7 linked regions of the Callithrix jacchus genome follow. The main gene of each other region encodes a partner of the protein of the gene in region 3 in a complex. Links are inferred from orthologs where the notes say so. Each region holds a gene or a part of one and is shown on either strand. Other genes may lie near its edges. The genes, in order: AHI1, CEP290, CC2D2A, B9D1, TMEM216, TMEM107 and TMEM67.

The links.
Region 1: CC2D2A (region 3) and AHI1 share a complex: the UniProt entries of both Homo sapiens proteins name them as parts of the tectonic-like complex. The link is inferred for Callithrix jacchus from reciprocal best matches to the Homo sapiens genes CC2D2A and AHI1.
Region 2: CC2D2A (region 3) and CEP290 share a complex: the UniProt entries of both Homo sapiens proteins name them as parts of the tectonic-like complex. The link is inferred for Callithrix jacchus from reciprocal best matches to the Homo sapiens genes CC2D2A and CEP290.
Region 4: CC2D2A (region 3) and B9D1 share a complex: the UniProt entries of both Homo sapiens proteins name them as parts of the tectonic-like complex. The link is inferred for Callithrix jacchus from reciprocal best matches to the Homo sapiens genes CC2D2A and B9D1.
Region 5: CC2D2A (region 3) and TMEM216 share a complex: the UniProt entries of both Homo sapiens proteins name them as parts of the tectonic-like complex. The link is inferred for Callithrix jacchus from reciprocal best matches to the Homo sapiens genes CC2D2A and TMEM216.
Region 6: CC2D2A (region 3) and TMEM107 share a complex: the UniProt entries of both Homo sapiens proteins name them as parts of the tectonic-like complex. The link is inferred for Callithrix jacchus from reciprocal best matches to the Homo sapiens genes CC2D2A and TMEM107.
Region 7: CC2D2A (region 3) and TMEM67 share a complex: the UniProt entries of both Homo sapiens proteins name them as parts of the tectonic-like complex. The link is inferred for Callithrix jacchus from reciprocal best matches to the Homo sapiens genes CC2D2A and TMEM67.

The regions. Positions count from the first base shown.
Region 1 is NC_133505.1:142,223,032-142,227,032, forward strand, and holds part of AHI1 (jouberin), read right to left. Parts: 5' UTR 3,992-4,001; coding exon 3,982-3,991; intron 2,512-3,981; coding exon 2,387-2,511; intron 1-2,386. UniProt on the Homo sapiens protein: Involved in vesicle trafficking and required for ciliogenesis, formation of primary non-motile cilium, and recruitment of RAB8A to the basal body of primary cilium.
Region 2 is NC_133510.1:93,053,110-93,057,110, reverse strand, and holds part of CEP290 (centrosomal protein of 290 kDa), read right to left. Parts: intron 3,713-4,001; coding exon 3,666-3,712; intron 1,355-3,665; coding exon 1,211-1,354; intron 1-1,210. UniProt on the Homo sapiens protein: Involved in early and late steps in cilia formation. Its association with CCP110 is required for inhibition of primary cilia formation by CCP110.
Region 3 is NC_133504.1:178,325,854-178,329,854, forward strand, and holds part of CC2D2A (coiled-coil and C2 domain-containing protein 2A), read right to left. Parts: exon of another isoform or gene 3,304-4,001; intron 2,861-3,303; coding exon 2,657-2,860; intron 1,798-2,656; exon of another isoform or gene 1,574-1,797; intron 1,048-1,573; coding exon 955-1,047; intron 1-954. UniProt on the Homo sapiens protein: Component of the tectonic-like complex, a complex localized at the transition zone of primary cilia and acting as a barrier that prevents diffusion of transmembrane proteins between the cilia and plasma membranes.
Region 4 is NC_133506.1:83,255,408-83,259,408, reverse strand, and holds part of B9D1 (B9 domain-containing protein 1), read left to right. Parts: intron 1-1,949; coding exon 1,950-2,061; intron 2,062-4,001. UniProt on the Homo sapiens protein: Component of the tectonic-like complex, a complex localized at the transition zone of primary cilia and acting as a barrier that prevents diffusion of transmembrane proteins between the cilia and plasma membranes.
Region 5 is NC_133511.1:118,390,460-118,394,996, reverse strand, and holds the start of TMEM216 (transmembrane protein 216), read right to left. Parts: upstream 3,049-4,537; 5' UTR 3,029-3,048; coding exon 3,016-3,028; exon of another isoform or gene 2,784-3,015; intron 2,459-2,783; coding exon 2,357-2,458; intron 1,829-2,356; coding exon 1,736-1,828; intron 1-1,735. UniProt on the Homo sapiens protein: Part of the tectonic-like complex which is required for tissue-specific ciliogenesis and may regulate ciliary membrane composition.
Region 6 is NC_133506.1:74,652,308-74,656,822, forward strand, and holds TMEM107 (transmembrane protein 107), read right to left. Parts: upstream 3,231-4,515; 5' UTR 3,106-3,230; coding exon 3,019-3,105; intron 2,843-3,018; coding exon 2,775-2,842; intron 2,675-2,774; coding exon 2,574-2,674; intron 1,153-2,573; coding exon 1,056-1,152; intron 835-1,055; coding exon 765-834; 3' UTR 590-764; downstream 1-589. UniProt on the Homo sapiens protein: Plays a role in cilia formation and embryonic patterning. Requires for normal Sonic hedgehog (Shh) signaling in the neural tube and acts in combination with GLI2 and GLI3 to pattern ventral and intermediate neuronal cell types.
Region 7 is NC_133517.1:33,426,921-33,431,572, forward strand, and holds the start of TMEM67 (meckelin), read right to left. Parts: upstream 2,949-4,652; 5' UTR 2,930-2,948; coding exon 2,707-2,929; intron 1-2,706. UniProt on the Homo sapiens protein: Required for ciliary structure and function. Part of the tectonic-like complex which is required for tissue-specific ciliogenesis and may regulate ciliary membrane composition.

The sequences.
Region 1 (4,001 bases), on a different chromosome or scaffold from region 3:
GTTTCTTTTCAGAACTGTCTATATTTTTGCACTTTTACTTTTAAACTTGTCATTTTGTTTAATGTGTGAATCTTGCAAGCAAAATACTTGATATTTTATTTCATATTAGTATTATTTTTGAGATAGGGTTTTGCTCTATACTCTGGCTGGAATGCAGTGGCATGATCACGGCTCCCTGCAGCCTGCATCTCCCAGGTTCACGCAATCCTCCCACCTCAGCCTCCCAAGTAGCTAAGACTACAGATACATGTTACCATGCCCAGATAAATCTTTATTTTTTGAGAGATGGGATCTCATTATGTTACCCAGGCTAGTCTTGAACTCCTGCACTCAAGCAATTCTACCACCTCGGCTTACCAAAGTGTTGGGCTTACAGGTACGAGCGACCACACCTGGTCCTGATATTTTAAAAATCTATTTTTGAATCGTTTTTTAAAATGGAAAGCTTAAACTATTTACATTTATTGTCATGACTGAGTTTGCTCTTAATTTTCTTATTTCATTGCTTTCTTTTTAAAAAATCTCACTTGATATTTTTAATGCTGATGACTTAGAAAGTGTAATAATCTATTTGACATATGTCATTTGTTTTATTTCAAACTCTAGGATGAAATATAACTTTTGACTATACACTAGGGATAGGAGTAATAGCTACTGACTTTTCGTTCCTTTGTAAGCTAGGATGCTTTGCTCAATCTTTGAAACCAATTTGTTCTGTTATCTCACATTATCAATTATACATATCTAATGTAAAATCTTCAGGAATTATTCTGGACATATATAATAATTAAAAAAGTTCTACATGTTTAATTGATTTCAAAGTTCATCCAATGGTATTTTCAGTTCATAAATTTCCCATTAAAATTTTTATATTGATATATAAGAGTTGTATATATTTTGGGGGTTCATGTCATATTCTGATACCATATATGATGTGTAATGATCAAATCAGAGGATCTGAGATATCCATTACTCCAAGCATTTATCTTTTATGTTGGAAACATAAATCTTCTCTTCTGGCTATTTTGAAATATATAAATTATTAACTGTAATTTCCCTACTAGAACTTATCCCTTCTAACTATATTTTGTACCCCTGTTAAGGAATGAACTTCTGTTCATCTCTCCATCTAAGATCTTAAGATGTTCTATTCTTAAATTCTTAACTTTGATTCACATCTAGAAATGGTACTACATCTCTGATAAATCTTCAATCTTTTTTTTTTTTTTTTCAGGGAGGGAATGCTGATAATATTTCTCCAATAAAGCACATATGTTTACAACTACCCTCACAAATGACTGACAACTTGAGTAACTAGATTCCTTGAGCTACAATTTTTCCCTTAATACACTAAATATTTCTCTATTGTCTTTTGGATTTAGTGTTTTTAGAGAGAAGTCTGAAATGTACAATAACCTATTTATTTTTTTCTGTGAGGACAGAAAACGTAACAGTCAAAGTAGCAAAAAGTGCAACTGAAGTAGTGAGATGGGTATAAAGAGTGCATACTGCATTAACTGTGGATGCCAATATAGACTTTATGATACCAAGGGGATCAGATTGTAGTTAGTTGCTGATTTGCTTAATGTTACTTTGAGCACTGTATTTTTAATCCCTTCAAGTGTGCTGCCAAAAATTCTATCATTTGAAAGTGTGCCTCAAACATAAAAGGATAACTATTGCCTTAAGGCCGTTGATTTCTCTTGGTTCTGCTGGGTAGAACCATACAGAAAAAAGTTTCAACAAGCACAAGCCATTCAATAGCTGAAGTTAGGATACTACTTCCTAAGTTCTTCACAATTCTGGGTTAAAAATACTGATTTCCGGGGCCGGGCGCGGTGGCTCAAGCCTGTAATCCCAGCACTTTGGGAGGCCGAGGCGGGTGGATCACGAGGTGAAGAGATCGAGACCATCCTGGTCAACATGGTGAAACCCCGTCTCTACTAAAAATGCAAAAAAAATTAGCTGGGCATGGTGGCACGTGCCTGTAATCCCAGCTACTCAGGAGGCTGAGGCAGGAGAATTGCCTGAACCCAGGAGGCGGAGGTTGCGGTAAGCCGAGGTCGCGCCATTGCACTCCAGCCTGGGTAACAAGAGCGAAACTCTGTCTCGAAAAATAAAAAAAATACTGATTTTCTACAAAAATCTTATCATGGCTAGTTTTGAGTTTCCCCACTATCTCTGGTCATTCTCCCCACTGTGTGCATGTTCTTCTTGTAGGGCAGCACTCAAGAATGAACTCAATACTCCAACAGTGATGTCGATTCTAATGTCAACTTTATTTTACTATGTGTTATTGACCATGACATAATGTTACTGTTTTTAATTATATGCAGCCATTTTATGCAGATATGTAAATCACCATTACCAAATGATGATTACTTACCGAGATGTTTTCTCCAGACCTGACAAGTTTTTTCTTTGGTTTTTTCCTTTCATGCATTAGATCACTGTGGGTCTTAAGCAATTCTTCAAAGCGAACTTTGGTTTTTACTTTTGCTTCACTCTCAGCTACAAAAGAGTCATGTCATTCTGTAAACAACTCTATTATAACACATTACTCTTATGTTAAGAAATCAAGCCTTGTAAATACCTGCGTGAATCCTCTAGCTACATTAGAAACACTCGCTAGTCCTTCCTTCTTAAACACTTTTTACTTTGACTTTAGTGACACAACATTCACTTGTATCCTTCTGACCTTTTTGGCCACTGACTCTAAAAGTCTCCTTTGCTGAATTAACTTTTTATTTCTGATAAACAATAGCATCTACCACTGTTAGTTACATGTTATGTGGCTTTAGACAAGTTACTTAACATTCCTGAACTTCATTTTCTATATCTGAAAAATCACAATTATCCTATGTCCAAGATCATTTTGCATGAAAAATGGCTAAGGCCTGCCAAGCCTGTCATCAGTAATCCACAAATATTACCATTACAAAAAAATTTTTCTTTAAAACATGAATCAGGTAATGATTAAGCCCATAAAAGTTTCCCATTTTATTTAGGATAAAATAAGTCTGTCACATGCCCTACAGGGTTCCATACCTCCTGATCTATCTCTAGAGCTTGAAATCAAGACAAATATCCTCTTAGATGCCTATGTTCTAGCTATAATACCCTTCCTCCTCCGTCACAGCAAGCTCCTTCCGACATGAAGCTGTTTCTGAGGCAAGCTTCCTCTAACTCCTCACCTGGCTGGGGGTTAACCTGTCTGTTTAAATGCTGTCTCTAAATAAAACATCTGACAACTAAATTTTCCTTTTTATCACATAGCAGGTTGTTCTCTTCCTTCACAGCACTTAACACAAATGGAAATCATATAATCATTTTTATATCTATATAAAGAATATATTGTTTGTTTTCCCCATAACTACATCCCTAGCTACTACTATGAGGTCTGACACAGTATACATACTCAGTCATTATGTTTTAAATTAATAAATGTTGAATGAATGGGTACTCTAGAGCAACTGTTGGCAAACGATGGCCTGCAGGCTAGTCACTTGTTTTTGTAAAGTTTTACTGAAATCAGACAGGTCTATTTGATTAGGAATTGTTGTAACTGCTTTCATGTTTTAAAAGAGATAGAGCAAGAGACAGAGTTGAGTAGTTATAATAGAGACCAAGCCTAAAATATTTATTAGCTGGCCCTTTCAGAAAAGATTGCCAATGCTTGTGGTGGAGTAAAACATTCAATTTTGATGATAAATAATAAAAATTAACCCTATGTTGTAATCATTATTTACTTTGTTCAGCTGAGTCCCAAACTACCATTCATTAAATATATAATAACCTTAATCACAACATTAAATAGAAAACTGAATACAAAACCAATAAATATCTCTACAGTGTAGCATATTTGGTAAATGACACCTACTGTATTCATTAATCGGTTAAAGAATCCCTTAAAATGAAAATAATCCAAACTTTAAATGTATAAAATATAAATTTTATACATACATTTCATAAAAGTCTTACCGGGAGGCATCTCTCAGCTT
Region 2 (4,001 bases), on a different chromosome or scaffold from region 3:
GCTCTTATTATTATTGTTGTTTGAGACAGAGTCTCATTTCTGTTGCCCAGGCTGGAGTGCAGTGGTGCAATCTCGGCTCACTGCAACCTCTTGCCTCCTGGGTTCGAGCAACTCTTCTGCCTCAACTACCCAACTAGCTGGGATTACAGGCACTCCCCACTAGGTTCGACTAATTTTTTTTGTATTTTTAGTGGAGATGGGGTTTTTGCCATGTTGGCCAGGCTGGTTTTGAACTCTGGGTCTCAAGTGAGATTGATTCTCTTAAATAGCATATCACTGTTTTCTTAAAATGTATGACCCTCTATTTCTGAGAGAATAATGAACAAAATGAAATAAACAGAATATAACATAATAATGACTTAAAGGACACAAAGGTAAAAAATGTTTCTGAGTATAAGAGACAGGACAGTTACCACATGTAGGCACCAAATTTTACTAAGTTTACTAATAGCTGAGGTGAAATAAAAAACAAGTAAGTGTTAAATAGAAATGTTAATAAATAAATAAAACATTAAATAAGAAGCTGAGGTAAAATAGGAAATTTTCTTCAAGAAAATACAAATTTACCTGCAAAAAACTTTTTTTCCAAAACTAAATCCCAGGGAACACTGCAAAAATTATTAGTTTACAACAAGGAATAACATGAGTTAATAAAAACTATGTATTAAACATGTTATTTTAAATATCATTGATAAAATGTTGAGATTAACACTTTTCAAAAACAATATATATATATCTCATATATAAGGATACAACCAAAAACAAGAAATTTAATTAAACATTATTGAATGTATCATCAAAAGATTCATTTCCAAATCTACTAATCATATAAATACATTGAAATAAACAAATATAACTTTTATGCAAAATAAACTATGATACTAAGATCACTTCTTTATGCAAGTCTATTAGTTTCTTGACACTAATCTTCCAGACAAAAGCATCAATTTTAGGTAGTAAGTGTGATATATCCTGAGAAAAATGTACCTCCAAATATAAAGAATTAATCTTCAAGTCATATTCACTAAAAGTACCTGTTCCATTATATTTTAAAATTTGTGATGACAAAATGAACAGTGTTATAAAATCTTATAAGTGTACATCATTCCTCAAATATAACATACAATACAAAAATTGATATTGTTACCAATAATTATAAAAAGCCAGGTAACTTGAACAGTGAAGATTCATGGAAAAAAAAGTGCTTTACTTGCTCATTAACTTTCTTCTCTTTCTCCAACTCCTTTTCCATGTCCTCCAATTCTCTATCTTTTCGTTCTAATTGCTTTTCAAGTTGGCGAATTTCATCACGTAAAAACCGAGTATCCCGACCACCTGCAGACCGCTGAGCCATCTCAAAGTAATAAACCCAAAGTATAAATTATATTATATTTTGAAGTTCAAATGATTCAACAATAAGCAACTTATCTTGACTTTAAATTTTCATTATATTTCAGTGCAGATATTTAAAATCATATTAAGAATCTTTTTTTTTTAATTTAACTTACCTAAGCGTTAGTTCACAGCTAGTAAGTCTTTAAACTTCTCCTGAGCCACCCAGAGCTACAAAGAATTGACTGTTAATCATTCTGTTGTAACCACTGGCCAACAGGTAGCAGACTAAAGGCAAAGGTCCTAAGCCGCAGAGATCTGGAACCCGTGTACGAACCATGAGAAACTCCGTCGCTGTTAGTGAAGTTTAGTGCCTTAACCTGCCCTTTCTCTCATATCATGCACTATTTAGACCAGTGCTGCCCAACAGGACTTTCTAGGATAATAGACATGCTCTCTCTGCTGTTCAGTTCAGTAGCCACTTGTTACATGTAGCTATGTTTGGGTATTTGAAGTGTAGCTACTGTAACTGAAGAACTAAATTTTTCATTTTAATTTTAACAAATAGAAATATAAATAGCTAGTGTTAGTGCCACTTTACTGAACAACTCAGGTTTCATTTATCTTTAAGATTTGTAGCCAACTAAATCCATTTTATTTCATATTCTTGTTAATTTAGGTCATGTCCCAGAACATCAAATCATTTGGTCATCTAACCTGTCTCACATTTATCTCTTCACCTTATAGTTCTGTTTTTCCTCTACCTTAACCAAATTTTTCACACTCTTTCTCTCCTTCAAAAAGCATTCCCTGTGCTAAAGTCTTCTTCCAAGATAAATATTTCACAACCTCAGATTATTTACTGAATCATCCTTTCCATCTCCTTGCCTTAGCTGCAATTTGGATCCTTTAGGATACTAATGCCCTTGGAACTCTTTCAGTTGGAAGGTGCTCATTCTTTCACAGCCCATATACATTAGGGTCAGGAGGAGGTGTTGGTACTTCTAGGTTTACTCTACCCTGCAACTTCACGTGATCATTCCTATCATTCCTCCATCATCCTATGAAAACCTCAGCTGCTTTCTCACAAGATATCCAGCTCTCCATCTTTACCTACTCATGGTAGCAGCAAACCACCAACTTCCCAGTGACTCTGCAAAATGTACTGGGAATTTAAGCATGTGCCTCACAGACGTTCATCAAATCCCCAAGCAATTTCCACATAACTTTTGTTCTAGTCTATTTTTTTTTTCTTGTTTCTTGAATTCACTATCATCTCTCACTGACACACCAACATCAAATCCTTGTCCAATCAGAAACATTCTTTCAATTATTCCCACTATGCCTGTCCTTTGACCTCACAGGACACTAATCCCTCGACTTCTCACTCCTTATCCCTACCCTTCTGCCCACCCAACCCCAATCTTGACTTTCTTATCTATTCAGTTGAGACTTCATAATCACCACTTCAACCACTTTCCTACCAATATCTTCAAAACTGTCTTACTCTTCTATTGTATAGCAGGTGCCTATCTAAACATTAACACAGAATTGATTCAACTCCATAATTCATTTAATGAGTATTTATTGAAAGTACTTGGCATTTTTCCAGGAGCTGGATATACAATCAAAATAACAAGTCATCCAAGTTCAGAGAATTAACAAATAAAAGAATCAGGACTAGAACTCAAATCTGTCTGACTCCAGATCCCCAACTCTCCAGTCTTTTCTCCATTACATTTCAAATTTTATCTGATTTTCTTAAAATGTGACCACACCATCTCCCACTCTTTCTAACAGATGACATCATCACTGACCTCTCAACTTCCAGGCACTATGCCTACAAACATAAAGGCTTCTACATACATCTACTGTTCCTCCCCTCATCTACTCTTCCTTCTCTCCTAACACAAGGAAAAGGGTATTCCTTCTTTCAAAGGCTGATCCGTTTCAAAAGCTGATCCATCCCTACCTTTTCAGGAATCTGAATTTAGTTCCTCAACAATACATTCATACTTTAGCCCTCAGCTTTGTAAAAAATTACTTCTATAAAACCCTTTGGTCATTATTCCCCAACTCCCCACCCACGCTCCACCTCAGTTACTAGTAAGCTTTCTATGTATTTCCCAAGACTGCAAGCTCCATATAGCAGTTAACTGTTTTAATTTCATTCACAACTGTATGCTCAATCCGAGAATATATACTGAAAAAGCAAATAACCATGATTACTATCATCCTTATAACTTTTCCAGCCAATAATAATTTTAAAATTTGAAAACAATGCAAAATAAAATTTATGACAATTACATTCTAGGAAATACAAAAAGACATACCTCCAGTTCATTTTCCAGTTTCATTACTTTAGTTTTTAATTGATTTTCTGTTTTTTAAAAAAAAAGACAAATGTTTTCATACATTAGCTACCACAAAACAAACTTTTAAATAAATTTAAATAACAAAATTAATTCTTTTAAAAGACTCCATCATGACTATAAGGTATCAAAAAGAATTATATGGCAGATCCATAAAATAGGAGTCTAGAATTGCTTATTATTAAGTAAATGTTATATATTAAAAATAAACTATATACATCTTATAGAATAAATTTGATTTTCTACAGCTTAATGAACACATGGAATTTATTATTTAATACCATAAACTTTTTTCCA
Region 3 (4,001 bases):
ACCAGGATGGTCTTGATCTCTTGACCTCAGAACTGATTCTTAAGTTATTCCCTTATTCAGAATGATTCACTTCCTAATTCCAGAGGACCTCTGGCTGGGCATGGTGACTCACCCCTGTAATCCCAGCTCTTTGAGAAGCTGAGGCGGGTGGATCGCTTGAGCTCAGGAGTTTAAGACTAGCTTGGGACACATGGCAAAACCCCATCTCTACAAAAAATATAAAAATTAGCCAGGCATGGTGGTGTGCACCTGTATCCCAGCTACTCAAGAGGCTGAGGTGGGAGGATGGCTTGAGCCTGGGAGGCAGAAGTTAAGAGCGAGCTGAGATCATGCTACTGCACTTCAGCCTAGGCGACAGAGCCAGCCCCCTGTTTCAAATACATACATAAATAAAAATAATAACCTCTTAAATGTTATAAGTCATTTTTTTTTCCTAATACATGAGCCACAGGGCAGATAAACTGGATAGGGAAAATGCACTGTAGCATTTCTGGCAAGTTCAGTTAATTGAAGGAAGGAAGAAAAGAAGGAAACAAAAAAGGTAAAAGGATAAACAAAAGGATGTTTCAGCTTTAATTTTTAGTTTTCTAGTGCATAAGGGCAGTTATTAGATGGTTTAAAGACTTTTTTTTCTGATTACAAAGGTAATCATTGTAACTCAATGGCAACATTCAAATATTAGAAAAAACATACTTAGAAATTGAATCCCTTGTAACTATGCCCCATTAAAAGATAACTGCTAATAATAAACCAGGACATATCCTAGTGGTTTCATATACTTGAAAGGTGATAATAGTTGTCAATCAATTACATATTTGTATTTATGAGGAAATTTTTGCAAGCTAAGTGGCTTGCATAAGCTCACATAGATATTTATTAAAGTAGAGGACTTTTCACCTTCGGATGCTGGCTTTTTTTCCCCCTCTGAAGACAGTTTTATATGATTTTTCTCACCTGCTGGAGGTACTTGGCTACTATGGCCCTGTGGGTGTCTATGTGTTCCTTGGTTTCAATTACATTTCTGTCTCGTAACCGTTTCTCATAGTCCTAAAATTAAAAAGAGGTAATGATTTTATGATTTTAAAGCACTCTCCAGTGCTATTTTTAAGATCAGGGAATTATTTATCACATATGATTTAAGTTATAAATTGTGGTTTTAAATATTTCTTCCACCTTCTTTCTAACTTTTGGTTCAGAATTAGTCTTCAATGCAGTAACCAGGATTCTGAGACAGGTAGCTGAAATGCCTTACTAGTAGAAGAGAATTCTGTACAGTAGTTACAAATTAAAATGTTAAGTCAGGGAGAAATAGAGGCCACAAAATATAAGAGAAAAGCTTTTCCAAGCAACTTAGCCAAAGCTCCTGCTTAAGTTTTGCCTTTAGTAAAGCCATTACAAAAATAGTAAAAATTTCAAGTTAAAACATTACCATCATGACATAACACCTAGCTGCAGCTGAGTCAGGTCATCTGCTTGGAGGAGAGTGATGCATACATTTGGCTTTGTCTGTCAATAAAATTATGTATGTGCCCTGGGAACTGCTATGTTCTCTAATCCCACCATCTGGTCACAGTGGAACACCTGGAAGTGGTACCTAACCCAGGCTCAGAGGACACATCTCTGCTGGGTGAAGAAACTAGATATGAACTTGTGTGATGTTGGTGACCACGTGGCCAACTAGAGAAAACCTGTCTGCAAAGGAGGAACATGAAGCCAACATATCAAAGAAGCCGAGAGAGGAAGCAGAAGGGTCCTGGCAGCAGGCACTGACGCACTCATGCCATTCAACGCTTTTAGGTATTTAGTACTATTTTGAGATTTCATCATCCCGTAGACACTCCCCGCGGTACCTAAGGTAGTTCAAAATTGGGCTTTTATCTCCTGTGATCAAAGTCCAAACGAATATAGAGAAGAACCAAATAACCAAACATACTCTTTAAGAATAGTTTTGGCATGAAAAATCTTCCTGGTACTAATTCCTGATGGCTCTCCATTTACCTTATTAAGTATTAATAAAAGTGTGTGTGTCTACAGCTCATGAAAGCAGGGAAAAAGAAAAAAAAGTGCATGTGTCTGGTTTCACTGGCCTGCCCCTCCCCTACACAGGCCTGTTACCTGCAGTTCCTCAAAGGCTTCTCTACCCCATGCCCAGAGATGTAATCTGCTCTCTTCTGAGTCTTTGTTTCTCCTGCTGCCCTTGACCAGGATGAATGCCCAGCCCTGCCCACCAACCCTATGGATATTCAGATTCTGTCCCCCTAGTTTTCCCTAGTGCTTTACCACTGTACTGAGTATATTATGCTTAGTAAGTACTACATTATGGAATTGAATTCCTAAGACATTCAGTAATTAGCCATATTATTAGCCTTATTAACCCTTAAGATATTTTCAATTCTACAATTCTAATTGTACGTGGTTCAGTTGACTCAAAATCCTGGTAACTGATTCGTTTATATATCACTATATTGAGGCAGAGAGATTATTCAAATGGTGAATTCAAGAAAACGCATGGGAAGGTTATATATAAAAGTGCAATAAAGAGAAACTGCTATTGCTGGTGACAGCATAACAAAAACAAAATACATATATAATAATATACTAAACAGCACCACAGGTACTTTATTCTTTTATTAACCCCTCTATGGCAATTTCTTACCTGAAATACCTTTTCCATAATTTCTCGGTCATAGACTGGAATTTGCTTATAATTTCGGAATTCTGGCACCTCTTGGCTTCTAAGAAGAAGAAGCCTGAATCGTTTGGATCTATTTAATTCTTGATCTGAAACAAAGTTAAATTCCTGTTGCAGCTGCTCCAGTCTAAAGAAATCAGGGACATAGGATTCACCACTGGTAGCAACCTATAAAAAACAGAAAATGCAAAACTCTAGATGCCAGGCAGATTTCATCCAAAGAAACTTGGCACTGAGCTTCAAGGAACATTTAACAATTTTAAATTAAAAGACTTGAAAGACAAAATACTTTAAAATATAATGAGTCACATGTCATTATATTCACTTAGTAGCTGTAAAAAATATCAGAAATCATTTTTCCAAACAACAAAAATTACGTTTCACTGTTGTTGTGCATGTTTCCCTAGTAGTGTTATTATGCGAATATACAGACCAAAAAAGAAGAGATTTGTTCCAGACTACAGTGTATTACTAGGTCCCTACTAGAAATACTCATATATGTATTGTATATAAAATCAAATATGTGACTTTTTAATATCATGCACATATGCAGATAAAGGCCTCAGAGGCAGCTGGTCAGCTTTACAACCATGCCTTCCTGTCTCTGACAGGAAAATGACAGCCTTGGTTACTGAGAAAAATGAGCCAGAGATGGATCCAGGTCAGCCAGCCTCCAAAGCTCCTATGCATTGTCTTAAGAAGGCCCGGTCCGGACACCTCTGAGAAGAAATGGACTGCACTTCACCCAGGCCTGCTGCCTGCCTCTCTGCCTGGCACTTTGCTGGCTGTAACTTCCTCCTGAGCAGAGGAGTGCCCCAAGATGTGCTGGGGTCTTGCATGGGAAAGGCAACCCTGCTGTGAAAATCCTGGTCCATAACAAGAGACCAGTCAAGAAGGCAATCTCTGTTTTGTTCTTTGATGGGAAAACATATAGTTAAAAAGAAAATAATGAAAGTGATATGTCTATTGAAATGTGATTTGAAACTTTACATGGAATAGACTACATTTTAGGTAATATGACCCATTCTTCCTAATATTTCTATTAGGCGTGCATTTCTATTAGGTATATTATGTTGAAGGAGAGTTTATAAAGATAAAAGTCGGAATAAACTAAGGTTTGTTATGGGACTTGGATAAACTAGAACAAAAATGAAAATGTTCATACCGACTACAGTTATCCTAATGATAAATTCATACTAATAGCCATGATCATAAGAATGTGTTGCTAGGGCTATGCTCTGGATTACCTACTTGTTTATTATGGCTTTGAGTGAATAATGAAGTTGCCAATAAAACCAACTGTATTCAA
Region 4 (4,001 bases), on a different chromosome or scaffold from region 3:
GTGCATATTCTAGAATGTCAGTGAGCCAGAAGGGCGGTGGGGAGACCAAGCCAGGAAGTGACAGGGATGAGCCATGAGAGAGGGAGGCCGCGATCTCACTAAGGCCACCAGGGAGGGCCTTGCCAAGAAAGTAACTTTTAAGTAAAGACCTGAAGGAAGTGAGGGAACAAGCCATGGAGAAACCTGTGATACGTGTGCGGGCAGAAAGCAGAGAGTACAAAGGCCCTGGGACAGGAGCATGCTCGGCATGTTTGAGGACCAGCAAGGAGGCCGTGTGGCCCCTGGAGAACGAGCCAGCAGGAAAGCAGCTGGAGATGGAGCAGGGAGGCACCAGGGTGGATCTTATAGGACTTAGAAGGTCAGAGTAAGGACTGTGACCTTTACTCAAAGGGATTGGGGTCCCCGTGGAGAGCTTTCAGCAGACAAGAAAGCGATCTGACTTGTGTTTTTAGAAGATTCCCTGGTTTCTATGACAAGGATAGACTTCAGGAAAGGGCAAGAGCAGGCAGCACAGTTGGCTTTGACAGCAATGCAATGAGAGAGGAGGGCAGCAGCGGTATGGTGGCGGGAGGGCTGGACTGCAAGTACACCCTGAAGATAAAGCCGCTGGGCTCTTCTGGTGGATGTGGGGTGTGAGAGAAGGAGGAGCTAGAATTCACAGCAGGGCTTTTAGCCTGAGCACTGAGAAGTAGGGAGCTGCCTTTCAGTGAGAAGAGCAGATTGGGGAGCGCTACCTGGAGCTCAGCCTGGTGTGGGTTAAGGTTGAGGCGCCCACTGGAGGAGGTGCTGATCCACAGTACAGAGGCAAGGACCAGGATGGAGACATAAATTTGGGAACCTTTGACATCTAGAGCACATCGAAAGCCATGAGACAGATGAGATCACCAAGTACAGGTAGAGGAGCTGGCCAAAGATGCAGCCTTAGGACGGCACACTGAGAAGGAACCAGCAAGAGCCACCAAGCAGGGCCACCCTGTGCAGTGGAGAGACCCAGAAGCCAACGGAAGACAGTGTATCAAGGAGGAAGCAACTGTATCAGGCGCTGCTGATGGCTCAAGTAACACAAGGACGGAGAAATGACTGTTTTGCATCTGGCAATGCTGATCATGGACATTGTTGGAGAAAACCCTTTGGTAGAGTGCTGGAGCCAGCAGTCACATTGGAGTGGGGTCACAGAAGAATAGCAGGGGAGGGGCCCGTGCAATGGCTCATGCCTGTAATCCCAGCACTTTGGGAGGCTGAGGAGGCAGATCATGAGGTCAGGAGTTTGAGACCAGCCTGACCAACATGGAGAAACACCATCTCTACTAAAAATACAAAAATTAGCTGGGCATGGCGTGCCTGTAATCCCAGCTACTCAGGAGGCTGAGGCAGAAGAATCACTTGAACCTGGGAGTGAGCCGAGATCACTTCACTGCCTTCCAGTCTGAGGCGACAGAGTGAGACTCTGTTTAAAAAGAAAAAAGAATGGTAGGGGAGAAATTGGATCTGGTGAGTGAGGCAGCTCTTGGAAGCAGTTTTGCTGTAACGGAAGCAGAGAATGGGTTGGTGGGTGGAAGAGGCAGCAGAGTTGAAAAAGGACTGTGTGATGGACAAAATACATCTATGTGCTTACCAATGGGGATGCTCGGATGCGGGTGGGGATGCAGGGGAGTGCAAATACTGCTGGACCATTTCCTTCCGTGTAGCAAGAGCTTGGGAACAGATCCCAGTGCCCTTGTGCCTGGGAGAGTGGCTGGCCTCCCAGGGTTGTCACACACACTACCACATTAAAGTACCACACTTAAGAGGTATTCCATCATCTCTTAGTCCCCTTTGTTTGAAATCTAGTGTCTTGGGAGAAGATAGCTGAGAAAACAGCCTTCCCAGCTGCCTGCTGAAGGTAAGGGAGGAGCCACAGCAGCTTGACTCTGATCTGACTCTAGCTGTCTCTGTCATTGTCCCCACAGGGTCTGGAAGAGGGGATCTCACAGATCACATCTAAGAGCCAAGATGTGCGGCAAGCACTGGTGTGGAACTTCCCCATTGATGTCACCTTTAAAAGCACCAACCCCTATGGCTGTGAGTCTGCAGGGGCCCTGCAGGGTAGGGTGGCAGAGCTTTCACACAGCACCCCCAAGACGGCCTTTGCCTCATCCAGCCCATGACTGTTCACATTCACATTGTCACCTGGGCTCTTGAAGCAGCCCTCAGCACTCTCTCTCTCACCATCTGTCCCTTTCCCTCCTCTTCCTCATCTGTGCTCACCCTGGTTCATCTGCTACAGCTGTGCAGCTGGCCTTCTGGAAGTTCAGAGTGGATCAGGGCCAGTGACCATGCCTGTAAAAGGCAGGCCCCTCCCTGGTATGCAGGGCTGCAGCTGTCTGGCCTGGAGGTCTGACTCCGTGCCTGTTGACTTCCCGTGGCCTGTTGTGTTCCGACCAGACCCTGGCACTTGCTCCTCCTGTGCTAGCCCCTCAAGTTCCTTCATCTGAGCTTCATTCATGCTGATCCCTCTCTCCAGATAGCCTTCCCATGTCCTACCTCCAACCTCTTTCCCAAGGGCTTCCTGGCTGGCATTACTTATTTTCTACCCTGCCTGGTGCTTATTAACCACGCTGATCTTCCACTTGCACTTAATAAGTGCCTACTGGCTTAGTCTCCATGGGACATTGAATACTTTCCCTATGTGAACTCATCTGAGCTTCCCAATCATACCTGGTAGGTAGATTTCTCTCCATTTCTTCTCCCATATGAGGAAACTGACACTCAAAACTGACTTCACTTGCCTTCTGCTTTACATCTACTGACCAGGTGTGGATTTTCATTCAGGCCCCTCTGATTTCACGATCTAGGCCTTTCTGCTGCATGTGGCCTGGGCCTAGGCTCACCACAGTGTTGAGGGTCAGGAGCAGAAAATGCCTGGTGGTCCTCTTGGGCAGGGAATTCCATTCTGCTGTCATCATCTATGAATAGGAAGCTGCAGTCGACTTCCTGTAATAGTGCAGTAAGTACTATAGGAACTCAGCCAACCTCCTCCTGCTGAAGACAGGTAGGAGAGGTAAATGAAATACACAAAGGCAAAAACAAAAAGCAACTACCTCAAAGGCATCAGAGAGCTAGTGAAGTAGAAGAGATTTACCAGGCAAGATCCAGGAGAAGAACAGAAATCCAGAGGTTACCCCCATCCCATCTCCCCTGGGAGTGTTTGCTGATTCCAATAGAGGTGATTGAGAGACTGATCAAGACTTTTGACAGCCTCTCTGGGCCCAGGACACACACAAAAAACTGATGTTCAGAGCCTTCCAAGGGGTTGGGAGGAGGGCCTCAGGTAAATCTCTGCAAACTGGGTTAAGACCCAAAGAGCTGCCCTAGGAATAAGGGAGAGATGGAAGCAAAGCAGCCTCACAGGGATTGTAGCCTGGCCCCTGATAATTTCAACCTCCTGATTTTTGCATTCAGCTCCAAGATTGTTACACCCAAGGCACCTGGCAAAAGCAAATAAGAAACCTCTTTTGGCTAGGCATGGTGGCTCATGTCTGTAATTCCAGCACATTGAGAGGCTGAGGCAGGCAGATCACCTAAGCTCAGGAGTTTAAGACCAGCCTGGGCAATATGGCAAAAATCCGTCTCTGCTAAAAATACAAAAATTAGCCTGGTGTGGTGGTGGGCACCTGTAAACCCAGCTACTTGGGGGGCTGAGACAGAAGGATTGCTTGAGCCCAGGAGGTCAACGCCACTGTACTCCAGCCTGGGTAACAAAGTGAGAACCTGTCTCAAAAAAATAAGAAAAGAAGCCTCTTTGGAAAAATATAACATTTCATAGACATCAAATTATTTCTATGTATTTTTTCAAATGTAATATCTGGCATATAATAAGGCACATAAGAATCAAGACAACATGAATGATAACCAGCAAAAATAAGGCAATAAGGCAATAGAGATAAACAGACTCTCTAGATACTGAAATTGTGAGATACATTTTTACCATGATCAAAAGAGATAAAACACATTGAGAATTA
Region 5 (4,537 bases), on a different chromosome or scaffold from region 3:
CTTTCTTATATATGTTCCAAGTATTTTGTTCCTAAGTTTCTGCTTTAACTTTGATTTCAGGGATGACATATTCTAACAAATAACGGTTTTGCTCTGTATTTCTGGGGTTATAAAACTTGTCCTACAGGCCAGGAATGTTGGCTCATGCCTGTAATCCCAGCACCTTGGCAAGGCCAAAGTGGGAGGATTGCTTGAGGCCAGGAGTTTAAGAGAAGCCTGGGCAACAAGGTAACACACTGTCTCCACAAAAAATTCAAAATTAGCCAGGCATGGTGTCACACGCCTGTGGTCCCAGCTACTCAGGGCTGAAGTGGGAGGACTGCTTGAACCCAGGGCTTCAAGGCTGCTGTGAGCTATAATCGCACCACTGTACTCCAGCCTAGGTGACAGAGTGAGACTCTGTCTCAAATAAATAAATGCTAAAAAAAAAAATCCTGGCCGGGCGCGGTGGCTCACGCCTGTAATCCCAGCACTTTGGGAGGCCGAGGCGGGTGGAGCACAAGGTCAAGAGATGGAGACCGTCCTGGCAAACATGGTGAAACCCTGTCTCTATTAAATACAAAAAATTAGCCAGGCATGGTGGCACATGCCTGTAGTCCCAGCTACTTGGGAGGCTGAGACAGGAGAATTGTTGAACCCAGGAGGCGGAGGTTGCAGTGAGCCAAGAATGCGCCATTGCACTCCAGCCTGGGCAACAAGAGCGAAACTCCGTCTCAAAAAAAAAAAAGTCCTGGCTGGGCATGGTGGCTCACGCCTGTAATCCCAGCACTTTGGGAGGCCGAGGTGGGCGGATCACCTGAGGTCGTGAGTTCAAGGCCAGCCTAGCCAACATGGAGAAACCCCATCTCTACTAAAAATATACAATTAGCCAGGCATGGTGGTGCATGCCTGTAATCCCAGCTACTCGGGAGGCTGAGGCAGGAGAGTCGCTTGAACCTGGGAGGCAGAGGTTGCAGGAAGCCAAGATCATGCCATTACACTCCAGCCTGGAAAACAAAAGTGAAACTCCGTCTCAAAAACAAACAAATCTGGCCTGTAACACACAAATCAGTCCTCGCAAGGTGGCTCATGCCTGTAATCCCAGCACTTTGCAAGGCCAAGCCAGGGGGATCATGGGGTCAGGAGTTCGTGACCAGCCTGACCAACATGGTGAAACCCCATCTCTACTAAAAATACAAAGATTAGCTGGTGTGGTGGCACACACCTACTACCTAGTCCCAGCTACTCAGGAGGCTGAGGCAGGAGAATCACTTGAACCGGGGAGGCAGAGGTTACAGTTAGCCGAGATCATGCCACGTCACTCCAGCTTGGCAACAGAACAAAACTCCAATTAAATAAAATAAAATCCTACGAGAGATCCTTATTCAGAGAATTGTCAGGGATCTTGGGACTGATCTGTGCAGGATATACTGCCTCCCTGACATGGAGTTATAACTGAACCTATTCCCCAAGAAAGCTAGTGAGAGGAACCAGGCACTCTTCTTGCAGTTAGGCAGCTGAAAAGGAATCAATCATCTAATATCCCATGCTATTGCTGATCTCTAGCCTTAGAGAGCAACGAACAGGTAAATGTTGACCCAATTAAGAAGCAGCAACTTGAAACTTCAGAGAGGGAGTAAAGGGATATACCTCCAGATCCAATCTTTGATAGTTAACCTAGGTTATGTACTTTTCTTGTTAATCAAGTTACAGTTTGTCTCATAAGGAGTGGAAATATTCTCTGGACGACACTCACCAAAAAACAGGCGAATTACTTCAATTCCAAGGTAAAGGAGGAGCATCACCACATCCAGTGCTAGGTTAGCTTTTGGATATGGTAGCAGGAGACCTGCCAATACAAAAGCCAGAGTTTGCAAACAACAGATAACGGCACCCACAAGGACTGCCACACACTTGGGAAAAAGAGGACATCTGTCTCAGCTGTCCATGAACTAGTTAGGAGGTGGGTGTTACAGCTGCAGGATACATAAACTCACAGTGCAACCAACCCCGGCTCATTATTACCGCATTTTACCCCTAACTCCAAAAGTCTCTGGGGACTCCACTCTCCAAAATGATTGGATATACAGGGTACACAGGCCACTGAAGTTTCTGAGGGTCACCAATGGGCTTACAGCTGAGCTCAGCAAAGAGCAGCAATGTGGGCGGAGTCAGAACTGAAAGGCCCTGTTTCCCAAATTCAAGAAATTCTTGCTGAGGGGCTACCTGTGGGATCGTACTCAAATAAGCCATCTGATGAGGAGGCCTGCCTTGCAGCGACAAAGAACTGCATAGGGCAAAAAAGGTTCTTGGTAGGAGACGGCTCTGACCTGAAGTGGGGGAAAGATGCTGTGTCTAAGCCTCAAGCCTTCCTTACCTTTATACAGAAACATGAAAAGTTCCAGCAGGAAATAGGTAGTATTATACCACCCGTTCAGAAAGAATAGGATTTCCAGGGGGGTGGAGGACAACCGTTTCCCTGAAAAAGGAGCACAGAGAAGTGGGATGGGCAGGAGGGCGGCTCCCTCTCGGCTCCTCGAAGGGGTTGGTATCTACTTTGGGGAAAACTAGGGGCAGTGGACTAATGGGACCGGCCACTTAGGGGCACTTCTGGTTGCTGATAATGAGTGGGGTGAGGGTACGGAGGTGAGTGTGGAGGGGGCTTCCCTCCTTTCCCAGGAATCACCGTGAAACTCGATCCTTCGGCTTCAGGGATACAAGTTAAGAGGTAACTGAGATCAAAGATCTCTCCCTGTCACTATTTGGGAGGGGAAGTTGGGGCGCGGAGATCCACATATTCGTACCTGAGCCAGCCTAGAAGAGGCCCAGCCGAGGATGTGTAGCTATCTGAGCCCCGCACCCGGAGACCTTCAGGCACCCAGGCTGGGCGGGGCCGCGGAAGCCCGCTTTGGACCAGGGAGGCGCCAAGTCCCTAACGCTTGAGAAAGGAGGGTTTAGGTCAAGCTCTGGGACAGAGGTGGGAGGGAGGGGCCGAAGGGAAAGGGACCAGCGACTCACACACCTCCAGAATCTCACCTCGCGGCGCCATCTTCAGTCCCCATGGAAACTGCGTACGCTACCACCGCGGCTCCAGGAGCAGCGAGGCGCTGCCGGAAACGGGGACGGAGCGGCCTGCGCTTCCGGGCTCTCCGACCGCACGCGGCGCTCTGTGCCCAACCCGAGCGGGAAGAACCCGGGCCTGGCGGCAAGTGACTCTCGCTTGATGTTCCAGTTCCAGACCTAAAACAGTGGCCGCCCACGACGCCGTCGTCTGCAGGACCTCGGGGGTGTGGGGGAGGACCCCAGAGGCTCTCGGGCTACCGGGCGTTGGGCGGAAGTGGCCAGCTGTGACAATATGATCAGGATTGGCAAATAAGTCCTAGTCCCACCATTCCCCTTTTTCATCGGAAACGATAAACGGTGTGCGCGACGGATCTCTGCAAATGCGGGGTGGGGGTTAGCATTGGTTTCTTTTTTTCTTTTCTTTTGAGACGGAGTTTCGTTCGTTACCCAGTCTGGACCAGCGGCGCAATCTCGACTCATTGCGACCTCCTCCCGGGTTCAGGCGATTCTCCCACCTCAGCCTCCTGAGTAGCTGGGATTACAGGCACCTGCCACCATGCCCAGCTAATTTTTGTATTTTTAGTGGAGATGGGGTTTCACTATGTTGCCTAGCCTGGTCGCGAACTCCTGACCTCAGGTGATCTACCCACCTCGGCCTCCCAAAGTCCTGGGATTACAGGCATGAGCCACTGTGCCCCGCCAGCATTGGTTTTTTTCTGCGGCCTATTTAGTAGCAGGTAGAGACACCAGGGAAATAGAGCGTCCTTTCCTGGAGCACAAATTGAAACGAGTCACCACGTGATACATAAAGTGGTTCAGTGAGAGCTGAGAGGACAAAGTGCTCCCACATGGAAATCGAAGTTAGTTTCCAAAAGACGGCCTGTGAGCTGGGCTTCAAAGCCTCCTGATTCGGATTTTGAGCGGTAAAAGCATGTTGCTGGCTGGGTGCGGTAGCTCACACCTGTAATCCCAGCACTTTGGGAGACTGAGGTTGGTGGATCACTTGAGGTCGGGAGTTGGAAACCATCCTGGCCAGCATGGCGAAACTCCATCTTTATTAAAAATACAAAAATTAGCCGGGCATGGTGGTGTGCACCAGTAGTTCCAGCTACTTGGGAGGCTGAGGCAGGAGAATCGCTGGAACCTGGGAGACAGAGGTTGGGTTGCAGTGAGCTGAGATCATGCCGCTGCACTCCAGCCTGGGTGACAGTGATACTCCGTCTGGGGGCAGGGGGACAGGAGGTGGGGAAGGTGTTGCTGCAGGCAGGGGAGTGCATAAGGAAGGGTTTTGAGAGGACTCAGGCTGACTTGGCTGTTAGCCCATTGTGCAGGAAACAGAGGTCACACTCCAACCAGGTAACCTGAGAAGAGTGACTAAACGTCATTTTACTCATTATTTATTTTTTGAGATGGAGTTTCACTCTTGTCACCCAGCCTGGAGTGCAATGGTATGATCTCTGGTCATTGCAGCCTCCGCCTCCTGGGTTCAAGCGAT
Region 6 (4,515 bases), on a different chromosome or scaffold from region 3:
ATTTAACACGAAACAACGAAAAAAAAAAAAGATCGTCAGGAGAATTCAGATAGGAGTAACCAGGGTGTTGTAAGTCCCGATTACGCAGAGACGTTAATCACGTTTCATGCACCTCCAATCATCATGTTTTATCTGTCCTCCGAAGAGGAACAGGTAAGGATTATCCCACCTGACGATATCTTAATAAACGGCGGATATTCCGGACTCAGTGAAAGAGATTCCGTTAAAAGCTAGGGTGAGTATACAACGCGTCGGTACGAGCCACCTTGCTATTTAACATCCTTCCAATTGTATTGCTATATTTGCTTTCATCTCTTTTAAAATAATTTTTTTCATTCAGCTGAGAAAAGGAATAAATTATTTCTTCCCAGAATGCTCCAATCATTTACGTGCTGGACGTTCTAACTGTATGCACTTTTATTTACATATCCCCGCCCACTTCCTTCCCCCAGACGTCTACCGTAATAACCAAAATAGAAGCGATATCAAGTATCTTACGGTCTGCAGGACTAGAAAACAGCGTAGTTGTTTTTTTCTTCAATAGTTAAGCCATCCCAATTGTCCCCTGAAAACTATATAACTCTTGATCTTACTACAAAACATATTTTATTACAAAACACTAAATACAATGCTGATAATCCCATACATCCAACACATATCCTCTAGCAGAAGCAGTTTCCAAGGGGAAGACTGAAGCCTATGCCTTTCTTCTTCCAGGAATACGAAGCGGCCTCCCATGTAGCCTTCGACCATCAGGAAGGTGATCAGAAAGGTTTCTTTTTCAGCCCAAAGATGGCGATGAATAAAGCCATTTCAGTGACAGCTGGAAGGGCACTACCGAAGCAGGTGGTAGATTCAGAAATCCTTTCAATATAAATATGCAAATCTCCAAACTAGAGACCCCACCCCTGAAAGTATAGGGCAGGTGGCATGGGGATGGGGGATGAAAAAGACTACAGGATCTCATGCATGGAAGAAGGGACCGGGTGGGGGAAAACTTTCAGATTTAGGGTAAACCTTCCTCCCTCATCCCCAAATATTGGGTGTTACCACACCTGCAGAAGAAAAAAATGTACCAATACGTAGTGCACTCCCAACGCTCAAATATGAAGAAGGACAGGGCCACGGATGCACTACAGTGAGCCCCAATGGCTTGGGAAGGCACCACAGTTAAGGAAAGTCTTTGGATCGACAGATAGTGATGGATCAGAAAACATCAGTGGTGGGGTTGGCATCTGCACTCAGGTTCATCGCTTGCTCCCTCACCATATTGCAAGGGCTAGAGTCAGCAGCCCTGACTTCTGAATTGTAGGATGGTCATATGAGGAGAGACCAGAAGTAACTGCATAGATGGGACCTCAGGCTAGCCTACCCCACATCTAGAGGCCAGCTTGGACCCTTCAGATGAGAGGTAAGAGTAGGCTCTCCTACCATGCCACACAGGAGTGCTGACAGCGAATTGATATGCTCTGCTGGAATCAGCCTCCAGGGTTCTAGCACTCCTGGTTCACAGTTCTCTGACCCACGTGCTTCATTTCCTTTGCCATTTCTGAGTTCCCATTGTGCTTTCTACCTTTTGTTTGTTTGTTTGTTTGTTTGTTTGTTTGAGACAGAGTCTCACTTTGTCACCAGGCACCAGGCTGGAGTGCAGTGGCACAATCTCGGCTCACTGCAACCTCCGCCTCCCGGGTTCAAGCAATTCTCCTGCCTCAGCCTCCTGAGTAGCTGGGACTACAGGCACACGCCACCACGCCCAGCTAATTTTTGAATTTTTAGTAGAGACGGGGTTTCACCATGTTGGCCAGGATGGTCTCAATCTCTTGACCTCGTGATCCACCTGCCTCGGCCTCCCAAAGTGCTGGGATTACAGGCTTGAGCCACCGTGTCCCGCTTGTTTGTTTTTTGACGGAGTCTCACTCTGTTGCCCAGGCTAGAGTGCAGTGGCTCAACCTCGGCTCACTGCAACTTCTGCCTCCCAGGTTCAAGCAATTTTCCTGCCTCAGCCTCCTGAGTAGCTGGGGTTACAGGTGTGCCGTCACCACGCCCGGCTAATTTTTGTATTTTTAGTAGAGAATGGTGTTTCACCATGTTGGTCAGGCTGGTCTCAAACTCATGACTTCAAATGATCCACCTGTCCTGGCCTCCCAAAGTTGCTTGAAATAAAGGCGTGAGCCACCGCGCCCACCCCTCTTTACACACTCCTATAGCACCCTGCTTATCACTGAATTACAGATATGTGTCTGCCTCCTCCTCATGATAAACAAAAAAGGTGAAGTTCTCATTATTACTATTATTTTTGTAGACATAGGGTCTCACTATGATGCCTCAAGCAATCCTCCTGCCTGGGCCTCCCACACTGCTGGGAATACAGACATGAGTCAACGTGCCTGGCCGAAAACTGTTTTACTCTCATTTTGGGATTTTAAGTGCCTAGTAAACAGCAGGATTTAGCACATGTTTGAAGATATCCGAACTGGAGAGATTGGTTACAGCAGACACTATGGTGTCAGGTGGCTGAAGGGAGTCCTGATGGAAATGGTCGTGTGGGAAAGGTGAGCAGGAGGAAAGGATACAGATGAGGCTCTGGGTGCTGTTGAACATGGAGACTCCTAGAAGGAAACCGGCCAGCTCCACTGCAAAGAGGCCCAGAGTGACAGAGAGCGCGGCCACCAGCCTGCAGAAAGGAAGTGGACAGCCTCAGGCCCTTGGACTTCTAAGAACCCTCCACTCCCACCACCTCTCCGTTCTGACCAGCCCATTCCGAGAGAGCTCACTGAATGTCCTGCTTTTCATACTCCTCGGGGGTGAACCTGAGAGGCAGGCAGGCCTGGATGTTGCTGTCCTGGGAGCAGAGCAGAGAGGAAGAGAAGTGAAAAAGGGACGGGCGGCGAGGCAGGCCTGGGGGCGGCGGGGAACGAGAAGACCTAAGTGGGTAAGACACTGGGAGAGGGGCAAGATGGGGCTGGGACCACTCCGAGGTGGGAATAGGGGCGGACGGATGTCAGCCGTGGGTCTTACCCGGGACCAGAATAAGGTGATGACGACCACCAGATGCGCCAGGAGCGTCAGGAAGCGAGAAGGTACGAGCCCTGAGACCCGGCCCATGGCCCTTGGAAACAGGGGCGGCGGTCTCAGAGGCCGGAATTTCAAAGAGAGCGACTCCTGAAGTCTCCCTGCAAGCGGACAAAATCTAGACGAACGCCTCCTTCCCGCCCGCTCAGGCACCGCCCAGTTACCTTGGTAACTCCGTACGCGAACGCGGCGCCGCGTTCTCGAAAAACATCGCGAGAGCAGTATATTCTCAAGCTGCTGCTGGCCTCTTCCGGCTTGCGCAGGTCAGGGCTTCCCCGAATGCCATTCTAACCCAACGTTTGGGTATCCGCGCGTAGCCAAGCCCTTTGTTCCTGAGAGGGTGCGAGGTGGCACGGCCCCGCAGCGCCCGATCTACCCGCCCAGGACCGACGAACGGAAACCGACCTGGGCTAGCCTGGGGGCACCTCGGCTTCCGCAGTTGCCGGGAGCGGCCCCCAGCCCCTTCTACACCGACAATTGTGGATCTCCTGAGGCCGCGCCACCGCCATGCCGGGCTGAGGTCCGGGTCCCCGCCATGCCGAAGACTCAGACACGCTCCCCTTCCCCTCCTCCGTATGCCTTTAGCTTCCCACCAAGCTGGCCTCAGAAACAAGGGTCCCGAACTTGGAGAGGCGGTGTCCCTAGACTGCTCAGCAGTCACAGATTGTCACGGAGCCCCTGGATGTCTGAGGACCCCAGGCCTGAACTTTCCTTGAGGAAGACTGATTTCTCTCAGTCTAACTTTGCTCAGTTTGGTGAGGGATTTGCAGAGTGCAAAAAATGGCAGAGCAAGGGGACCGGAAAGGGTGGGAGTGGATGGAGGGAATGGACAGTCCCTGCATCCCTGGGAGGCTTGGAGCTGACTGGAACGGAAACTCAAATCAGATTTCTTTATCTCTTGGAGGTGCTGGGCCTCCGACATTACCCAGCTACAGTCCAAGAAGCTCTTATCATCGGCAACCTCATGACCTTTGGGTTTCAGCGCAGGTCCCCGCTGATCGGAAAGCTCTTTCTTCTCGCAATGCTGTCAAGTCCCATTCTCAAGGGTCCTCCCGGCTCATTTCCCCGGAGAACAACCGCTTCCTCTTCCTCACTCCCCGTCTCAGTGCCTTTAGCCAGTCTAAATATATGCCCAAGAGGCATTTCTCATTTCTTCAAATATTGTTTGTATTTACTGATTACCTAGTAGGTGGATTCTAGTCAGGGAGATCAATAATAGACATGCAAACAAATCCGCAAGATACTATATGCTATGAAAAGGGAAACGCTACAATTATAATTCTATAAAAAGAATGGGGCATTTGTTCTTAAACTTTATTTTAGAAAATTTGGCGCAGTAGCTCATGGCCGTAATCCCAGCACTTTAGGAGGCCAAGGCGGGCAGATCACCTGAGGTCAGGAGTTCTAGACCAGCCTGATCAACATGGTGAAAACCGGTCTCTA
Region 7 (4,652 bases), on a different chromosome or scaffold from region 3:
GTAATCCCAGCACTTTGGGAGGCCGAGGTGGGTGGATCACGAGGTCAAGAGATCGAGACCATCCTGGTCAACATGGTGAAACCCCATATCTACTAAAAATGCAAAAAATTAGCTGGGCATGGTGGCGCATGCCTGTAATCCCAGCTACTCAGGAGGCTGAGGCAGGAGAATTGCCTGAACCCAGGAGGCAGAGGTTGCGGTGAGCCGAGATCACGCCATTGCACTCCAGCCTGGGTAACAAGAGTGAAACACCGTCTCAAATAAATAAATAAATTAATTAATTAAAATAAAATAAAAAAAAGAAATATACAGTATAGTAAAAACATATAGGTCAACACTGAGAGCAAACAAATATGAATGTTTCCAGTTCCCAATCTGGGCTTCAATGTCTTTATCTGTAAAATGAGAAGAAAACTCATTTTCTTAATTACTTTCCTTATTAGGGAAGTTGCCTTCATTCAAATAAATCACTGTTTCTCTCTGTTAAGATAGATAGTAAACATAGTAAGATAATCACTATTCAATTTGCAGTATAGATAAGGACAGCATTCTCTAAGGAGTCATTAGGTAGAAGCAGCACTCATAGGAGTCTATGTAGTATAATACATACCATATCTGGATTCATAGATATGGAACTATACCTTTCCATATTCATAAATATGAAAAAATATCTTACATTTTAACTTCTGAAATGCTTTCTCATTCATATTGCCATACATGTGTAGCCTGACCTGTTCGAGAACTTAAATGAGGATATGTCAAAGCTGAACATGCCAGAAAGTTAATAACATGGGTGACCAAATTGAGATAGAAAACATCTTAACATCTTTGCCGGGTGCGGTGGCTCAAGCCTGTAATCCCAGCACTTTAGGAGGGCAAGGCCGGTGGATCACGAGGTCAAGAGATCAAGATCATCCTGGTCAACAAGGTGAAACCCCGTCTCTACTAAAAATACAAAAAATTAGCTGGGCATGGTGGCACGTGCCTGTAATTCCCGCTATTCAGGAGGCTGAGGCAGGAGAATTGCCTGAACCCAGGAGGCGGAGGTTGCGGTGAGCTGAGATCATGCCATTGCACTCCAGCCTGGGTAACAAGAGCAAAACTCCGTCTCAAAAAAGAAAAGAAAAGAAAACATCTTAGACTTTAGAATATGGGAAAAGACATTCTGAGCAGTTTCAGTGAGAACTAGGAACAAATGATGTTTTAGGTATAAAAAATAGATTTAATCTAAAGAGACCTTAAGAATAATGAGTAATATTCTATGATAAAAAGGACAAGTCCTAAGGAAATCTGTATTAGAGGCATACAGCATAGTATGGGTCAGGCTCAGTGGCTCACTCTTTTAATCCCAGCACTTTGGGAGGCCAAGGTGGATGATCATTTGAACTCACAAGTTTGAGACCAGCCTCAACATGGCAAAAACCCCATCTCTACAAAAAAACTGGTGAGGTCCTGTAATCCCAGCTATTTGGGAGGTTGAGGTGGGAGGAGGATGGCTTGAGGCCAGGAGGTAGAGGCTGCTGTGAGCCAAGATTGAGCCAGGGCACTCTACCTGGGTGACAGAGCCAGACTTTGTCAGAGAAGAAACTAAAATAAAAGAAAATAAAGAGAAATGAAAGAAAGACAAAGAAAGAAAAGAAAGAGAGAGAGAGAGGGAGGGAGGGAGGAAGGGAGGGTATGGTGAAAACACACAGGCAGAGAGAGAGAGAGATGAGAGAGAGAGAGAGAGAGAGAGAGAAAGAAACAAACAGTATAGTGAAAACACACAGGCCAAGACTGAGAAAGGAAAGGAAGGAGGGAGGGAGGAATCGTGAAAACACATAGGTCAAGACTGAGAGCAGGGATATTTATTCTTTCAGTCCCCATCTGGGCCTGAATGTCCTTATCCGTAAAATGAGAAGACTGGATCTGATTATGATTAAGGTCCTTTCCAGTTCTAAACGTCTGGGATTTGAAAAGAAAAATGTAGGGCTGACCGGGTGCAGTGGCTCATGCCTGTAATCCTAGCACTTTGGGATGGGCAGATCACAAGGGCAGGAGTTTGAGACCAGCATGACCAACATGGTGAAATCCTGTCTCTAATAAAATAAAATAATAAAATAAAAAATTAGCCGGGCGTGATGGCGGACGCCTGTATATACATACATACATACATACTACTCAGGAGGTTGAGGCAAGAAAATCGCTTGAACCCGGGAGGTGGAAGTGGCAGTGAGCCGATATCGCACTATTGCACTCCAGCCTGGGTGACACAGCGAGACTCCGTCCAAAAAAAAAAAAGAAACAAAGAAAGGAAAAAAATGATGTAGGGCTATTGAGGTTCACAAGTGCTAGTTTGTTCTTCCTCCCTAATCTTTCCTGTCACCTGCTCCCGTTTACCTCAGATTACTTCTCTACTAGTTCTTCTCTATCTTCGGTAAACAGCATTCCGGGTGTCGCCCTGAAGACCCCCGTATGAGGAGTCGGGGACTGGCACCGAGAAACGAACTACAGGCAACGGTTCATTGGGTAGCCGACTCAGAATCTCCCACTTCATTCGTGTGCAAACTGCAATCCTTCCAGAAAACCCTCTTCTGAGACTTCCGCGGTTAACTTTTCTGATACATTTCTACTGCAGACGAAAAGGTGTTTGAATGACTCCAGAGACTAGGGGCAGACCAAGGCGGAAGTGTTACTTTTGCCAGGGCCCACTTCAAGCCGTCTTACCTCGGGCATCCTGCCTCTGGTTAGCTCCACACGGAACACAGGAGAGCGCGGAGATATCAAAGTACTGGTTGTTATCGCAATTTTCCGGCTGCTGGAAAGGGAGAGAGAAGGTCTGGGCCTGTAAGATGCGAGGGAGTAACAACAGAAGGAACGCAGTCACGGCTCGGGCAGATAAAAGGGACCAAGCCGCCATTGCCACCCCAACCCCACCGCGCGTAGCCATGGTACCGACGCTAGCAGCCGCCCAGGCTCCAGCGTCCCATCAGCCTCTGCGGTAACTCCGCTAAGCTGATTGGATAACCCAAGTTTGGGTACCGGAAGTCTCTGCTGGTGCTGCTTGGTTGCTAGGTTACCAATCCTGACGGAAGTTGACAAGTCCAGTAAAGAATGGGTTAAAGGCCGGCTAAAGCCCAACGGTATTTTTGAACTTGTGCAGAGCTCCTCGACTTACGACAGGGTTACCGCCTCCCCGCAATAAATCCATCATAAATTGAAAATATCATAATTTATTGAATTATATTTACATCAGAATTTATTCAGACTAGGTGATTTTAACCTTAAAGGAAACTTGTTTAACAATTTGACAGTCCGTCAAAAAAAAAAAAATAATAACAAAAAATAACAACACACTGACTTAAAACCCAGTGAAGGATTACTATAGAGAAAAGATTGAAAATTTTTAAAAAAATCTTTCCTGCCAGGTTTGAGCACAGGAAATCATGTATGTGAGACAAAGTACGAAGCGGAAGAAAACTGTTTACTCATTCTGTTGCCAGCGGAATTTCACAAAGCCCTTGACTCAGTGACTGAACGAAGTCCTCCAGAAGAATGCCCTACAGACAATAAGTAGAATAGAGCACAGGTTTCCACATCTGTTGCTTGAATCACTTCATTTTTTTAAAAAAGATACGTTCAGTGATCCTGGCCCTTGCCTCTTCCTGTACATAAGATAACGACTGACAGGATTAATGATTTTGATTATGTCTCTGTAATCTATAACCAGATGTACTCTCCAACCAAAACTTTGATGAGATTTTGCTCCAATGTAACTTCTGAGCATGTTTAATGTAACTTTTGAGCGCATCCAGAACTCCACCCCTTGATATAAAAACTGTGGGCAGAAACGCTGCTCTGGAGCAGTCTAACATAAACTCTTTGAAAGACTCTCCAGGGTGGCATTCCTCAGTAAGACTCTGAAAAAAACTAACTTTGAGTCTTTAAAAGCCTTATTTTTTCTTTAGTTGACTTGTATATAAATTGAAATAATCTTTACATCTCTTGTGAATAAAATAATCTAAGCCTGGTGCTGTGGCTCATGCCCCTAATACTAACATTTGGGAGTCCACTGTGGAAGGATTGTCTGAGTCCAGGAATTCAAGACCAACCTGGGCAACATAGTGAGATTCCATCTCTGCAAATGCAATTTATTTTAATTAGCTGGTTGGGTGGCACATGGCTACGGTCCCAGCTACTTGGCTGGCTGAGGCGGGAGAACCATTTAAGCTCAGGAGGTCAAGGCTGCAATGAGCTGTGATTGTGCCACTGTACTCCAGCATGGATGTCAAAGAGAGACACAGTCACACGCAAAAAAGAAAAATCCTGGACAAATATATGGAAACTGTTAGAAGTAGAGACCATTTGTAAGGCAAAGATGGAAATCTAGAGTCTAAATTGGAGCAATGGAGGAAGAGAGAGGCAGGAGAGGATGAATAAAGGAACTATTCAGGAGAAAGCATAAGAATTTTATGATTTTGGCCCGGCACGGCGGCTCAATCCTGTAATCCCAGCACTCTGGGATTGGACTCACGAGGTCAAGAGATGGGCCTTGCACTCACGAGGTCAAGAGATCGAGACCATCATGGTCAACATGGTGAAACCCCATATCTACTAAAAATACAAAAAATTAGCTGAGCATGGTGGCATGTGCCTGTAATCCCAGCTACTCA